Linked DNA regions of Macaca mulatta. The protein of the gene in region 1 purifies or fractionates together with the protein of each later gene. This does not show direct contact. Links are inferred from orthologs where the notes say so. Each region holds a gene or a part of one and is shown in the gene's direction. Other genes may lie near its edges.

Region 1 (8,028 bases):
AATTCAAGCTTGTTCTCTCAGGACTGATCTGACAAACCTAAACATTCCTAGCCCACCTTTGGTGTAAGCTTGCCATCTCTGGACTGTTTGAGCTATACATTCCTATAATTTAGCTACACTTAAGTCAAAACTATATTCAGGGCACAAACTCACTATTCTGTGAAAAATGCAAAACAGGGTTTAAGCAAGCATACCTAAGTGCACAGCAGATCCTGCAGATCACCTCATACTTTATACCAAAGGCTAATTTAGATCCAGTTATTGTCAGGCCTCTGAGCCCAAGCTAAGCCATCATATCCCCAGCGACCTGCACATATACATCCAGATGGCCTGAAGCAACTGAAGATCCACAGAAGTGAAAATAGCTTAACTGATGACATTCCACCATTGTGATTTGTTTCTGCCCCACCCTAACTGATCGATGTACTTTGTAATCTCCCCCACCCTTAAGAAGTTTCTTTGTAATTCTCCCCACCCTTGAGAATGCACTTGGTGAGCTTCACCCCCTGCCCCCAAACATTGCTCTTAACTCCACTGCCTATCCCAAAACCTGTAAGAACTCATGATAATCCCATCACCCTTGCTGACTCCTTTTTTGGACTCAGCCCACCTGCACCCAGGTGAAGTAGACAGCCTTGTTGCTCACACAAAGCCTGTTTGGTGATCTCGTCACATGGACGCGTGAACAGTTATTAAGTTCAAATGCAGCAAAAGCAGCAAGATATTTTAGCCAACTCAAAAACATTTTTATAATAATTTGTAAGTCCTGGACGGGCTTGTGGCTCACCCCTGTAATCTCAGCACTTTGGGAGGCCGAGGTGGGCGGATCACCTGAAGTCGGAGTTTGAGACCAGCCTTACTAACATGGTGAAACCCCCTATCTACTAAAAATACAAAATTAGCTGGGCATGGTGGCACGTACCTGTAATCCCAGCACTCGGGAGGCTGAGGCAGGAGAATCACTTGAACCTGGGAGGTGGAGGTTGCAGTGAGTCGGGATCATGCCACTGCACTCCAGCCTGGGTGACAGTGAGACTCCATCCCCAAATAATAGTAAAAATTTATAAGTCCTTTCACTAATTACAATTATTCTTCCATTGCTTCTTCCAATTGTTAATTCATAAATTGTACATAATTGTAACAATATAATTGCCCTCCTCTTCATACTATTTCAAATAAGCCTTTTCATTTAATCTGGAAATTTTATATTTCTCAATTATATTGCTTACATACTATTCTGATAGGCAACTGTACCTGCTTAAACATTCCAATTTAAGTAGGCATGAAACAGTATATCCAATCTGTTTTACTTTTCCAAATTAATTGTTAGCAAGATTAGGATTTTTTTTTTTTTAATTTTTTTTTTTTTTAGAGATGGTTGTCTCACTATGCTGCCCAGGCTGGTCTCAAACTTTTGGGCTCAAGCGATTCCCCAACCTCAGCCTCTCAAGTATTGCTGGGACTACAGGCATGCACCACCGCTCCTGGCTAAAATCTTGTTTTAAACAATTTTTTCCTCCAACTTCTTCTTGTGTTCTTGGTGTTCTCTAACCATCTGTACACTGGGGAGGCGGTGATACACAGCATATGCTTCCTCCTTATTTAATGTCACCTTCAGTTCAGAAACGATATGTTTCCTATTTAAAAGACAACTTTACAAGAGAAGCGTACCTAACAAAACGTCTAGGTGACTTTTTGTTCATTGATTCCAAAGACACAATCAGCCCCCGCTATTTAGTGGATACTAAGCTCTGAGGCTACATGGAAGAACCACGCAGGCACTCTTCCTGCCTTCAACAGCTTACAGTTAAGTTTAGGTAGCAAACATTTGAAACATAACGAAGCTTTTGGTTACTTAAAAGAATTCTATGGTGTTAGGGGGTAACACAAACCTGTTTTGTAAACCTGTATCTTTATACAGGGAATATGCTTAATCTTGCTACAGTATACAGGAATGTGGGAATGTTTCTTCCTCTGGGCTGCCTTTCGTACCACCTGGCTGGATGGAACACCTGTTCACTCCACTTTCCACTTGGGCTACAAACCTGAAATGAAATCTTTGCAACCAGTACAGCCTGCGCGGGGCGGGGCCCAGTCCTTCCCCCTTCGGATGCGCAGAAGCAGAGGTCACCACGCTGGACCCCTCGATTTCCTCGCGGGCGGTTCCCGGCTCCTTCACCACCCCAGCGCTTCAAGACCCCCGCCCTTTGGCCTGAGGCTCCCACTGCCCTAGCCAGTTCCCGGGCTCACTTCCAGCTTTTCCAGAAAGCTTGGCCACGCCCCTCGGCCCAGACTCTCAGGCCACTCGGCCGCAATTAACCCTCGTCTCGGTGCCTTTTTAGGCCCCTCCCTCTCAGTCGTGCCCTTCCCATGTCTTAGGCCCCGTCTCACCCTTTCGGATGCCTCCCCTAGGACCTTACCACTTTCCACCCCTTTCCGTCTGTTATTTGTCCCCAACTTGCGCCCGCACAGGCCCCTCTGGAACGCCCCTGCCGCGTGAGTGCCCCTCGTCCCCGCTCAGGGGAGGAAAAGCCTGCGTGCCGCGCATTTCTGGCCTGGGGAGCGGGTGGAGTAAACCTGCGGGAACCATTTTACGACAACGTGCGGCTGTGCGGCGTGGCTGACGGCAAAGCCGCGCTGCTGTTGGAGAGGTCACTCCGGAGACGGCGTTGGTGTTGGGGTGTGGGGGGTTGGTGGCACTATGTGGCGCGTCTGTGCGCGACGGGCCCAGAATGTAGCCCCATGGGCGGGACTCGAGGCTCGGTGGACGGCCTTGCAGGAGGTACCCGGAACTCCACGAGTGTCCTCGCGATTTGGCCCGGCTCCGGCTCGTCGCAACAGCGCGACTACAGGGTATGGAGGGGTCCGGGCACTGTGCGGCTGGACCCCCAGCACTGGGGCCACGCCGCGGAACCGCCTACTGCTGCAGCTTTTGGGGTCGCCCGGCCGCCGCTGTTACAGTCTTCCCCCGCATCAGAAGGTGAGCCCTAGACCCGCCCTTCTCGGATCCCCGTTGTCCTTCAGAGCTGACTGGATGCCTGCAGGATCCTCCTTGAGAGGCCTCATTGATCCTCCAACCATTCCCAGTATCTGCTTTCGTCCTTTGTCCAGTAGTCAGCTTTGGTTCCTTAGCTTCCCTCTCATGATCTATTCCGTTGAAACTATTCCGTTGAAAGGGGAACTTCAAGACTGGGGCTGTATGCAATTATCTGCCGAGGTTCATGCTTTGTGAGACCCGTAGGACTGTGGAGCAGAAAGCCTGTCACTGGAAATTACTAACTTCTCATGGGCAGAAACTGCCTTGGTATCCCTAGTTCCCAGTGTGTAATGGAACTGGATACACTTTGCATGAAATTGAATTGAATGAAATCTTAAGCCAGACTGAGAGTTAGGTAGCCCTTTAAAAATTTAATGTTTCTTCTTTTTCTCTTCCAGGTTCCATTGCCTTCTCTTTCCCCCACAATGCAGGCAGGCACCATAGCCCGTTGGGAAAAAAAAGAGGGGGACAAAATCAACGAAGGTGACCTAATTGCAGAAGTAAGTTGTTTTAAAATAACGGAGATGAGTTCGAAGAGACTGGCTTTGCCGAATTGACTGAACATTGACTTTCTGGATGTGTAGTTACCCCTTTGTTTAAGAAACTGAAGTGTTTTTCACAACTTGATGTTAGACAAGATTGGTTGGATAAGTTGCCAGCAGCTGGCCAAACTGATACTTAGCCAACGCGTTTCTAAAGTAATTTCTTCTTTCAAATCTGTCGTAGTGGCCTTATCGTCACATGAACTGTATCATTCTAGACACAGAGGCCAAGCTGGCCAACATGGTGAAACCCCGTCTCTGCTAAAAATACAAAAATCTGCTGGGCATGGCGGCCTCTGCCTGTAATCCTAGCTACTCGGTAGACTGAGGCAGGAGAATCGCTTGAACGTGGGACGGGGAGGTTGCAGTGAGCCGAGATTGCACCACTGCACTGCAGCCTTGGCGACAGAGTGAGACTCTGTCTCAAGAAAAAAAAAATTCTAGACACAAGCTAATAAACTACATACCGACAGTATAAAGCTGAGCTGCTGCTTTTTGTGTTAAAAGGTTGAAACTGATAAAGCCACTGTTGGATTTGAGAGCCTGGAGGAGTGTTATATGGCAAAGATACTTGTTGCTGAAGGTACCAGGGATGTTCCCATTGGAGCGATCATCTGTATCACAGTTGGCAAGTGAGTAGTGCACTCATAATTTATGGAACTTCATTGCTTGGTGGAGTATTTTACCCAGAATTGAGAATTAGGAGTTAAAGACTATTTTTTAAGACTACTTTTGTGAAAGTTGAATCTGCCCATTATATTTATGCATTCTTTCTCTTCCTTAGGCCTGAAGATATTGAGGCTTTTAAAAATTATACATTGGATTCCTCGCCAGCACCTACCCCACAGGCGGCCCCAGCACCAACCCCTGCTGCCACTGCTTCGCCACCTATACCTTCTGCTCAGGCTCCTGGTAGCTCATATCCCCCTCACATGCAGGTGAGGCTCAGCCTTTGAGTGTTTGCTCTAGGTGATTTATTACTTACTTTTTTTCATAGATGGCTACTACATCTTGGAAACTGACTTTAAATGTGGTTAGTTAGGTCTTGTCATTTGGGAGTATATAGAAATTTAAACATGAAGATTGACAACTTTTCTTCCTGGTTGTTCTTTCCAGTTATAAGAACTTGAACAGTTCCTGTAACCTTTCTCAGCCTCAGTGTAGTACACAGGGTAATTCGTGGCACTTTTCATTCAAGAACATTACATTACAGATTTTGAGGATGATTTTTACTAACATCTATTCCCTGTATAATTAGAGTTTATAGTAGGCTGTGTTAGTCTGTTTTACTCTGGCATAAAGAAATACTTAGGGCTGGGTAATTTGTAAAGAAAAAAAGGTTTATTTGGCTCATGGTTCTGCAGGCTGTACAAGAAGCACGGCGCCAGCATCTGTTTCTCTTGTGGCCTCAGGAAGCTTACAATCATGGTGGAAGGTGGAAGGGAAAGGGGAAGGGTGGTGTGTCACATAATGAGAGAGGGTGCAAGAGACAGAGGGGAGTGGGTACCAGGCTCTTCATAGCAATCAGATTTCCCCTTAACTCATTACCATGGGGCATGCACCAAGCCATTCATGAGGGATCCTCCTCCAACACCCAGACACCTCCCACCAGACCCCATCTCTAACACTGGGGATCATATTTTTTTTTCCACCTAGAAAAAAACTTTATTTACACAATCTTGGATTCTGAATTTCCGATACTTCCAGGGTCTCTTGATCAAATGGGGCCGCAGCAGGTAGGGAAGCAAACACAGGGGCCAGTCCAGATTATCTTACTGAAGAACACCACCAAGAAGAAGGGAAGGCCTAATTCAGTTTTGGTCTGGACTACATCTCCTCGCACTTTGAGATCACCACAGGTAGCTTGGGCTTATTGTTAGGGCCTGTGGGAACATTCTCAATCTTTCTCATCACTAGAAGTCCATCGATGAGTTTTCCAAACATTATATGCTTCCCATCCAGCCAATCGCACTTAGAGCAGGTGATAAAGAACTGACAGCCGTTTGTACTGGAACCACTGTTTGCCACGGAAAGCAGGCCTGGAGCTGAGTGTCTTAAGTTTAAAATTTTTGTCTGCAAATGGCTCCACATAATTACTGGCGACTCCAATACCATCTCCAGTAACAAAATCTCCACCCTGAGTCATGAAATCCTTTATGACCCTGTGGAAAGTGCTTCCTTTGTATCCTATTGGAACCCCATCTTTTCTGAATTCTCTAGTGTAGAACTGCGCAAAGTTCTCGGCCATCTTAGGCACAACTCTGCAAAGAGCTTGATCTTTGTGCGGCCAACTTCCTGACTGCCATTGCTGACATCAAAGAACACCATGGGGTTAGCAGGGCTTGAATTTGCCACCACCCGTGGCTCCGACCGGGAAGCAGAAGTCAGGGATCGTATTTCAGCATGAGATTTGGAGGGGACAAACATCCAAGCTGTATCATAGGTGTCAAGTGCTGTCTGTTGAATGAAAGTCCCCAATTGGTGTTCTTTTGACATGTGGTGATCTATTTTCCAAGAGTAGGTGAAGTAATCCAGTAGTATTAATAAATGAGAAAACTGATAAAAATTAAGTGTAAGATACACATAGGTAATAGCGTTGCAACAAAGTTGAAGGCAGTGAATGTAATCACTGTTGATTGTGCTAACTAAATCAGTTTCTAAGAAACTAAGTCAATTTATTAGGTATTAGGGTTATCTTCTGTATATTTGTGTGCTTTAGATGTTACAAGTGGATAAAAATCCAGCCATCCTTTTCTAAATAATTCTGACTAGCATTTCTCCTGAATCTAGTTTATTTGTAGAAATTTTTGTATAGGAATCATTTTCTTCTTTGGAAATAACGTTCTACTCCGTGGTTTGTTAGTAACAATCATTTAGGATTTTTGCCTGGTGTTCAGTTCACACATGTATTACATGCTGTTCGGCAGATTCTCTCTCATGATACAAGACTGACTTAATTTTCCTCTACTTTGTGCCTGTAGCTTTGTGTGCATGTGCTAGGGTTTTACCTTAATTATTCTTTAAGATACTGAATTGAATTCTGAATCTCTGATACTGTTCTTTAAGATCCTGTATAGAGATTATTGACTTCACTGTTGCTTTTTTTTTTTTTTTGAGCCTGTCACCCAGGCTGGAGTGCAGTGGCGCGATCTCGGCTCACTGCAAGCTCCGCCTCCCGGGTTCACGCCATTCTCCTGCCTCAGCCTCCCAAGTAGCTGGGACTACAGGCGCCCGCCACCTCGCCTAGCAAGTTTTTTTGTATTTTTTAGTAGAGACGGGGTTTCATGGTGTTAGCCAGGATGGTCTCAATCTCCTGACCTCGTGATCCGCCCGTCTCGGCCTCCCAAAGTGCTGGGATTACAGGCTTGAGCCACCGCGCCCGGCTGACTTCACTGTTTCTTAAGAAGCAGATGAAGATGGCAAATTCTGAACAAAAAAGGCACTTACAATTTTTTTTCTAAGGCTTGTCTTAATTTTTTCCCCTCTCTGGAAACATCTTCAATTGAAATTATTTTCCCCTCCGCATAAGCCTGTTGCTAATCAGATACAGAAGACAAAGAGGATAGCAAATGAATCCAAATTCAGTGGACACACAAGCCATATAAATAGTAAAGCAATTTTAAATTTAGATAGGCATTCTGGTGTTTGGATTTTATTGGGGTGGAAATGGCTATTATAAAAACAGGGCTTTTTTTCCCCCTGGTTTTTCATTTTTATTTATTTATTTTTTTGAAACAGGGTCTCAGTCCATCACCTACGCTGGAGTGCAGTGGTGCGATTTTGGCTCACTGCAACCTCTGCCTCCTGGGTGCAAGCGATTCTCCTGCCTCAGCCTCCCGAGTAGCTGGGAATACAGGCACACACCACCACGCCTGGCTGTTTTATTTTTTGAGACAGGATCTCACTCTTCACCCAGGCTGGAGCACAGTGGTGCAATCTTAGCTCACTGCAGCCTTGACCTGGGCTCAAGCCATCCTCCCACCTCAGCCTCACAAGAAGCTGTGACTACAGGCACATGCCACCGTGCCCAGCTAATTTTTTTTTTTTTTTATATAGACGAGGTTACACCATGTTGCTCAGGCTGGTCGTGGACTCCTGGGCTCAAGTGATCCTCCTGCATCAGCCTACCAAAACGCTGAGATTGTAGGCATGAGCCATCATGCCTGGTCTTTCCTGTTTTTTTTTTTTTTTTTTTTTTTTGACACAGTCTTGCTCTGTCACCATGGCTGGAGTGTCGTGGCACGATCTCGGCTCACTTCTACCTCTGCGATTCTCATGCCCCAGCCTCCTCAGTAGCTGGGACTACAGGCAGGTGTTACCACGCCCAGCTAATTTTGGTATTTTTAGTAGAGGTAGGGTTTCGCCACTTTGGCCAGGCTGATCTTGAACTCCTGGCCTCAAGTGATCTGCCCCTCCCAAGTGATTCTTGGCCTCCCAAAGTGCTGGGAT
Region 2 (7,516 bases), on another chromosome or scaffold:
ATGCACCACCACACCCGGCTAATTTTTGTATTTTTAGTAGAGATGGGGTTTCACCATGTTGGCCAGGCTGGTCTCCAACTCCTGACCTCAGGTGATCTATCTGCCTCGGCCTCCCAAAGTGTGCTGGGATTACAAGCATGAGCCACCACGCCTGGCCTGTTTTGTGTTTTTGAGACAGTCTTGCTTTGTTGCCCAGGCTAGAGTGCAGTGGCCTGCCTCAGCCTCCCAAAATACTAGGATTACAGGTGTGGGCCACTGTGCCCAGCCCTTCTTCTTCTTTTTTTTTTTTTGTTTTGAAGACAGAGTTTCGTTCTTTTGCCCAGGCTGGAGTGGCTGGAGTGAAGTGGTGTGATTTTGGCTCACTGCAACCTCCATCCCCCAGGTTCAAGCAATTCTCCTGTCTCAGCCTCCCGAGTAGCTAGGATTATAGGTGCCAAACCACCACAGCTGGCTAATTTTTGTATTTTTAGTAGAGACCAGGTTTCAGCATGTTGGCCAGGCTGGTCTCGAACTCTTGACCTCAGGTGATCTACCCACTTCGACCTCCCAAAGTGTTAGGATTACAGGCGTGAGCCACTGCACCCGGCCCTCCTGGACTCTTGAACTATGGTTGTCCCTCCATATATCCAGGGGATTGGTTCTAGGACCCTTGAATATACCAAAATCCTCAAATACTCAAGTCCTGAAGTCAGCCTTCCATATCTTCGGGTTTGCATCCTGAGAATATTGTATTTTCAATCCATGTGTGGCTGAAAAAAAAAAATCTGTATAAGTTTACCCGTGCAGTTCAAACCCTGTTCAAGGATTGAATATATTTAGTGTACTAGTAGAGGAGAGGTCCTAAGATGTTGGTAACTGGTCAAAAAACCAAAAAAGTCTAGGGTACCATCTGGACTTTTGCTAACATCTGAAGGAAACTAAGTGACTGGAGAGTAGGAAAAGCTGGAAAGGTTGAAGCACATGGAACTAGTAAAAGGACAAGCAGAAACGTGTTTGCCTGGAGAGACAGGTACTTAGATGACTGAATTGGCCTCTGCGTTCTAATGGTTGAGCCACTTGGGGTGTGGTTTGGTTTGCTTTGTAGAGTTGGTTTGTGCTGCACATGTGTATGTTCTGCCATTTCCAGGACGAAAAGGAGGTTGTGCTAAAGGGAAAGGAGGATCGATGCACATGTATGCCAAGAACTTCTACGGGGGCAATGGCATCGTGGGAGCGCAGGTAGTCAAGGACGAGGACTGTGTGCTGCTTTAGATTTGGCCCTGGCCTTTGTCTTCAAAAACTTTCCCAGCCCCAGACAACTTTTCGTGAAGTAGTATAGCCATGTGCTGCACAGTGACACTTTGGTCAATGTCGCATATATGATGGTGGACCCATAAACTTATAATAGAGCTGAAAAATTGCTGTCACCTAGTGATGTTGTAGTGGCACAACACATTACCTTTTCTATGTTTAGGTACGCAAATATTTTGCCTACAGGATTCAGTACAGTCACATGCTGTGCAGCGTTGTAGCCTAGGAGCAGTAGGCTCTACCATACAGCCTAGGTGTGCAGTAGGCTGTACCTTCTAGGTTTGTGCATTACAGTATGGTGTTCACACGACAAAATAGCTTAGTGATGCAATTCTGAGAATATATCCCTGTTGTTAAGCGATGCGTGACTGTATTTTGGGGGCTTGGTTTGCTTTTAAAGACCTAGTGCTTCATATCCTACCATTTGAGCGATGAGTTGAGTAGATTTGGATGGTGATTTATAATGTTTCCTTTTAGGTGTCTGCTATTTTATAAGTAAGCAAGAGCCTCTAGCAGTGGAGCCTACCTTCCCCTTCCTATTTGTATTTCAGTACATTGCCTTATCTTGTCAACTTCATTATGGAGTCCTTGTTCTCATCAGTTAGTGGATGATGAAGAATTAACAGCACAAAATTATATCCCAACTGTTTCTCTTCCTAATATATTAAGATTCTATTATGTGTTTTTTTAAAAAACCTACTTTTTTTTTCCCCCTTTTTTCTTTTGAAATGGAGTCTTGCTAAGCCGCCCAGGCTGGAGCAGTGGTGTGATCTCAGCTCACCGCACCTCCACCCCCGGGTTCAAGCAATTCTCCTGCCTCAGCCTCCTAAGTAGCTGGGACTACAGTTAAGCGCCACCGTGCCCAGCCATTTTTTGTATTTTTAGTAGAGGCAGGGTTTCACCATCTTGTCCAGGATGGTCTCGATCTCTTGACCTCGTGATCTGCCCAAAGTGCTGGGATTACAGGCGTGAGCCACCATGCCCGGCCACGTTTTATTTTTTAACTCTTGAATGCAGAAATGTTATTGCTTACTGGTTAAAATAGAACATAGTATTTATATATTCCTTTACTGCTTCATTGAAAGTATCGGGGGTGGGATAAACAGAGAGATGGGGTTGGAAGGAGAGTTTGTAGCAGCAGTGTAATTTCTGTGCCAGATTCTGACCAGGAGTTAAAATGCAGGGCATTGATATCTCCCCTCATGGATTTCTATGGTTCCTTTCTCGGTTGTCCTTAATGTTAGGTGCCCCTGGGCGCTGGGATTGCTCTAGCCTGTAAGTATAATGGAAAAGATGAGGTCTGCCTGACTTTATATGGCGATGGTGCTGCTAACCAGGTAATTATGTCTCTTAACTTTCCAATAACGGTCTTATTTTCAAAGTGTTTAATATTCACAGTTGAATTTCCAAAGAAGCAGCTTATTGCTTATTAGGTGAAATAGTAATTCCTATGGCTAGCTCAAATTTGGTTGACTTATGGCCAGATTAGAGAGTGACCTTTTAGCATTGTTTCACAAAAGACTTAGGGGGGCGCATTCCTGTGAAGGAGCTCACCTTTGCTCTATATCAGTGCTTGATAAAGGACCTCCCCTAACCTATTGCAAAATGATACAGACCCATTCTCTTGGATGTCCGCGCTGGCAGTGTCAAATTCGGGTAATAGCGTCTCAGTCCTAATTCAGTTTTTGTGCTTCTCTTGGTACCGAGTAATACCCAGTCTGTGGCCGGTACTCTGTGAAGCCCTGTTCTAGAGGCTGATTCTTAGGTGCTGGTTCACTCTGACTATCCAGTGGGCCCGATAGATTTCATACTGATCTTTTTTCCAGTGTGTTCCTTACTGCTAGCATGGCCCCAAAGAAACAAGTAGTAGTTGGTTTGTCATCTTTCTTAGTTGCAAGAGTATGATGCCTGCTGCTTCTCATCTGTCACCCACCCCGCTTTCCCTCACCATCCAAAGCTCGGTTTTTTGGTTGTTTTTTTTGTTTTGTTTTTGAGAGAGAGTCTTGCTCTGTTGCCCAGGCTGGAGCGCAGTGGCACGATCTCCGCTCACTGCAAGCTCTGCCTCCCGGGTTCACGCCATTCTCCTGCCTCAGCCTCCCAAGTAGCTGGGACTACAGGCGCCTGCCACCATGCCCGGCTACTTTGTATTTTTAGTAGAGACGGGGTTTCACCGTGTTAGCCAGGACGGTCTTGATCTGCTGACCTCGTGATCCACCCTCCTCGGCCTCCCAAAGTGCTGGGATTACATGCCTGAGCCACCGTGCCCAGCCCAAAGCTCGGTTTTAGAAGAGGAGGCTTTCTGTGCTTTATGAAAGCTTTCTGTGCCAGGCAGAGCAGCAGCTGTTACAGATGATGGATCCTAGAGAAAGAAGCCAAATGAAACCCCTTTTCATAACTACTTCCAGGGCCAGATATTTGAAGCTTACAACATGGCAGCTTTGTGGAAATTACCTTGTATTTTCATCTGTGAGAATAATCGCTATGGAATGGGAACATCTGTTGAGAGAGCAGCAGCCAGCACTGATTACTACAAGAGAGGCGATTTCATTCCTGGGCTGAGAGTAAGGACACCTGTGGTGGGGCCGGGGCCAAGGCCAGGGGTATGTCCTTGTGCAGACCCTTGACAATCTTAGAAACATTGAAGAGTTTCGTTCTCAAACATAAGCAGGTGATGTGAAAGTAAAATGGTTTGGGGCAGCTGGATTCATGCTTCGCCCCTCCCGTTTATTAACAGGTGGATGGAATGGATATCTTGTGCGTCCGAGAGGCGACAAGGTTTGCTGCCGCCTATTGTAGATCTGGGAAGGTAAGACTCTAAAGGCCTCTGGGCTAATGACATTTATCTCTGGAAGTTCAAAGACTGCCTCCCGTGTGCCTGCTGAAGCTGTTAGTGGGTAGCTGCTAATTGAGGTGCACAAGATGGAAGCAGAGTGAAGCAAGCAGGGCTCCTTTGGGTAGCTTGGTCTTGGTAGCTCACCTGCTGGGAAGCCCACATTTCTCTCATTTGGGGGAAGTCTGTCCTGGTGCTTCCTCTGCTTTCGCCTGTCTTCATCATGACAACTACACTGCCTTTTTGTTAGGTTAATTCTGTCCCTCCTCCCCACCCCCCATTAATCATGAGTCCCTTGAAGGAACAGATTGGGGATCCCCGTAGTGTCCAGCATAGAATGTCATGTATACAATAGGCATTTAATATGTGTGTCTTACACAAACAGTATGGTTGAAGCTTGTAATCTTAGTCTTGCTCAGTCCTAAGGATCTTTCCCTTCAGTGTATGGCAGTGAGGGAGATGGTAACAGGGAGACTGGCCTAAAGAGGTTTCAGTTCCTTCAGCACTAGTATAGGCTTAGGAGGTTTAGGTGTTCTCCCTAAATTAGTGTTCCACAGCCCAGACACAAGGTTTCTGAAGTTGTCACTTCAGTGCCATACCATGTATGTTTGGGCAGTGATGCAAATGTCAGAAAGTGGGGAGACAGGGAAGTAAGGGTGGGATGTAGTAACATTAAATAAGAGCTAATGAGTAGAATGAACTAGAGCAGGACCAAGATGACAGCTTGGATACAATGGGCTGAGCAGTCTGTCAGGACCCTAAGGCTGGGAGTGCCAGGCCCTGAGTGATGGATATTGACCCCACCTCTCCCAATTCCTGAAAAGAATACATGGGGGCCAGCCCTGGCTGGAGACATGGTGATTTGTAGAATGTATGACTTCCCAAACACATAACCTTCACAATTCTGAGTTAGGTGTTACTGTTTTGCCCATTTTGCAGACAAGGAAACTGAGCCACAGAGCAGTTAAAGGTACATAGCTACTCTTATCATGGAGCCAGCTCCCCACTCACCCATTTTAACTACTGCACCAAACCAATCAAGGATCCTCAATGTTTCCCCATCCCTCAGTGTTCAGAGCCATCTCCTGGAAGTGGGCTAGTGTAGAATGAGCAAGCCACTTGGTGATAGACCCCAAGTGGTCATACTCCCAGCAGAGCCTCAGGGTTTGGGTAGCAGAGGTTGTTGGTGCCTGTCAACTTTGTTACACACTAGCAGGATCTGTGAAGTAGAAGTGGCTGCCAGCCCCACAACACACTACGAGAAAGGAGCATGAGATGGAAATCTGCCTAGCCAATAGCAGGAGGCTCTAGAACATGCTCAAAGCCTTTTTTTTTTCTTTTTTTGAGACAGAGTCTCGCTCTGTCCCCCAGGCTGGAGTGCAGTGGTGCGATCTCGGCTCACTGCAAGCTCCGCCTCCCGGGTTCATGCCATTCTCCTGCCTCAGCCTCTCGAGTAGCTGGGACTACAGGCGCCCGCCACCGTGCCCGGCTAATTTTTTTTTGTATTTTAAGTAGAGACGGGGTTTCACCGTGTTAGTCAGGATGGTCTTGATCTCCTGACCTTGTGATCCGCCCGCTGCTGGGATTACAGGCGTGAGCCACCGCACCCAGCTGCCTTTTTTTTTTTCACAGGGTCTTGCATGGTGGCACACTCACAGCTCACTGCAGCCTTGACCTTCCAGACTCAGGTGATCCAAGTAGCTGGGACTACAGGTACATGCCACCATGCCTGGCTAATTTTTGTGTTTTTTGTAGAAATGGGGTTTTGCCATGTTGTCCAGGCTGGTCTCGATCTCGAACTCCTGGGCTCAAGTGATCCAACCACCTCAGCCTCCCAAAGTGCTGGGATTACAGGCATGAGCCAACACACCTGGCCTTCAAAGCCTTTTTGATTCAAAACAAGCTGTTGGTAGATTGCCTTATTATAAATGAGAAGACTGAAATATGCAATCAATACATGCTAGAAATGAGAACAGATCAGTCAACCAATAAGAAATCCATGATACCTCAAAAGATCTGGTAAGAATACACTGGATGCTTAATAAAGGGCCTGCGTTTGAGGCCGTGGAGTGTCAGCCTGCTCTTCACGTCATCGTTCCTAACTGCCTACCACTTCTGTTTTAGGGGCCCATCCTGATGGAGCTGCAGACTTATCGTTACCACGGACACAGTATGAGTGATCCTGGAGTCAGGTGTGCTCATGGGCACTGTGGTTTCCAGAGGGGGTGGGCTTTGAATGGTGTTACATGGCAAAAGAAACACATTTCAATATTTGCTTTTGGAGCTAGATACCAGTTCACTTCATGCATGCAGTTGTGTTGGCATCAAGTTACCTGAAAGCAGTGCCTCCTAATAAGAAAGCTTTACTGAAAATGCCTACAATGTATAGTGTGTGTGAGCACGAGCAGTGATTTTTAGAGTGTTATATACCTTAATTGTGCAGGAAAATTGTTACATAAAACAAGACCGATGGTAGTGTAGTATCTTGGGGGCATTTAGCTTTTGTAGGCATTACCCCAAGTCCATGCATGGCATACTCCACCTGAGGAGGATCAGAATTTGGAGATGTTCTTCTGTCTGGTATAGAGCTAAGGGTAACTAGGTGTTCAATCCGTTCAAATACATCAATCAAAAAAGCTAGGTTTCACTAGAAAGGCATGAATTTTACTTTTTTGCTTAGCTCTGGCCTGTAATTCTGGAATCCCAGGGTTGACACAGTTGAATAAATAAGCCTTTGTAGAGTGGATTTCTAAGGGAAAATCATGTAGAGAGCACAGTATATGGAATAGATCCACTTTGTGTAAATCTGTTGTGGAAAATGGTAGAATCCTTTTAGTGTTACTTCAAATGATGTAAGCGTAAGATACATTGGTTTTGCTGGCTATGCTTCTTTAGGGGGGCTTAAGGGAGAAAGGCAAGGCACGTGGATTTCCTGCTTGGTGCTCTTAAAATCTATCACCACACACACCATCTCTGCTGTCCCCTCCCATGTAGTATACAGGAGCCCAAATGGGTGGGATGAGTGACACTTCTTTAGACCCTTATGTCTAAGTCAAAGAAGCAAGCAAAAACTTGGCCCCTGTTGTCAGAATGCCAGGGAAGCCACGTGACTTACCAGCGTACCGTTTTCTAGAAGACAGCAGTAGTTCTTACAGAATGTTAGGCTGTGCTCTGGTATTTTGAAAGTATAACTCTGCCACTCCTATAGTGACATAGCATTGATGTGCCCCTTTGTTTCAGAAACACACTTCTGTATTTCACCTAATTGGGACAATCCAACCCCATGTCATATTTCATCATGCTGTCCTTGCTCTACTGGAACTGTTCTTACTGATCGATTACTACTTTTCCCTCCCCATAGTTACCGTACACGAGAAGAAATTCAGGAAGTAAGAA

The links. Proteins that work in one complex are often made in the same cells at the same time.
Region 2: the proteins of DLAT (region 1) and PDHA1 fractionate together in Homo sapiens (co-fractionation; 3 studies listed by BioGRID). This does not show direct contact. The link is inferred for Macaca mulatta from reciprocal best matches to the Homo sapiens genes DLAT and PDHA1.

The regions. Positions count from the first base shown.
Region 1 is NC_133419.1:112,777,228-112,785,255, forward strand, and holds the start of DLAT (dihydrolipoyllysine-residue acetyltransferase component of pyruvate dehydrogenase complex, mitochondrial), read left to right. Parts: upstream 1-2,636; 5' UTR 2,637-2,701; coding exon 2,702-2,980; intron 2,981-3,435; coding exon 3,436-3,537; intron 3,538-4,086; coding exon 4,087-4,211; intron 4,212-4,363; coding exon 4,364-4,517; intron 4,518-5,275; exon of another isoform or gene 5,276-6,075; intron 6,076-8,028.
Region 2 is NC_133426.1:19,088,793-19,096,308, forward strand, and holds part of PDHA1 (pyruvate dehydrogenase E1 component subunit alpha, somatic form, mitochondrial), read left to right. Parts: intron 1-1,126; coding exon 1,127-1,218; intron 1,219-2,534; coding exon 2,535-2,627; intron 2,628-3,695; coding exon 3,696-3,851; intron 3,852-4,024; coding exon 4,025-4,096; intron 4,097-6,244; coding exon 6,245-6,312; intron 6,313-7,481; coding exon 7,482-7,516. UniProt on the Homo sapiens protein: The pyruvate dehydrogenase complex catalyzes the overall conversion of pyruvate to acetyl-CoA and CO(2), and thereby links the glycolytic pathway to the tricarboxylic cycle.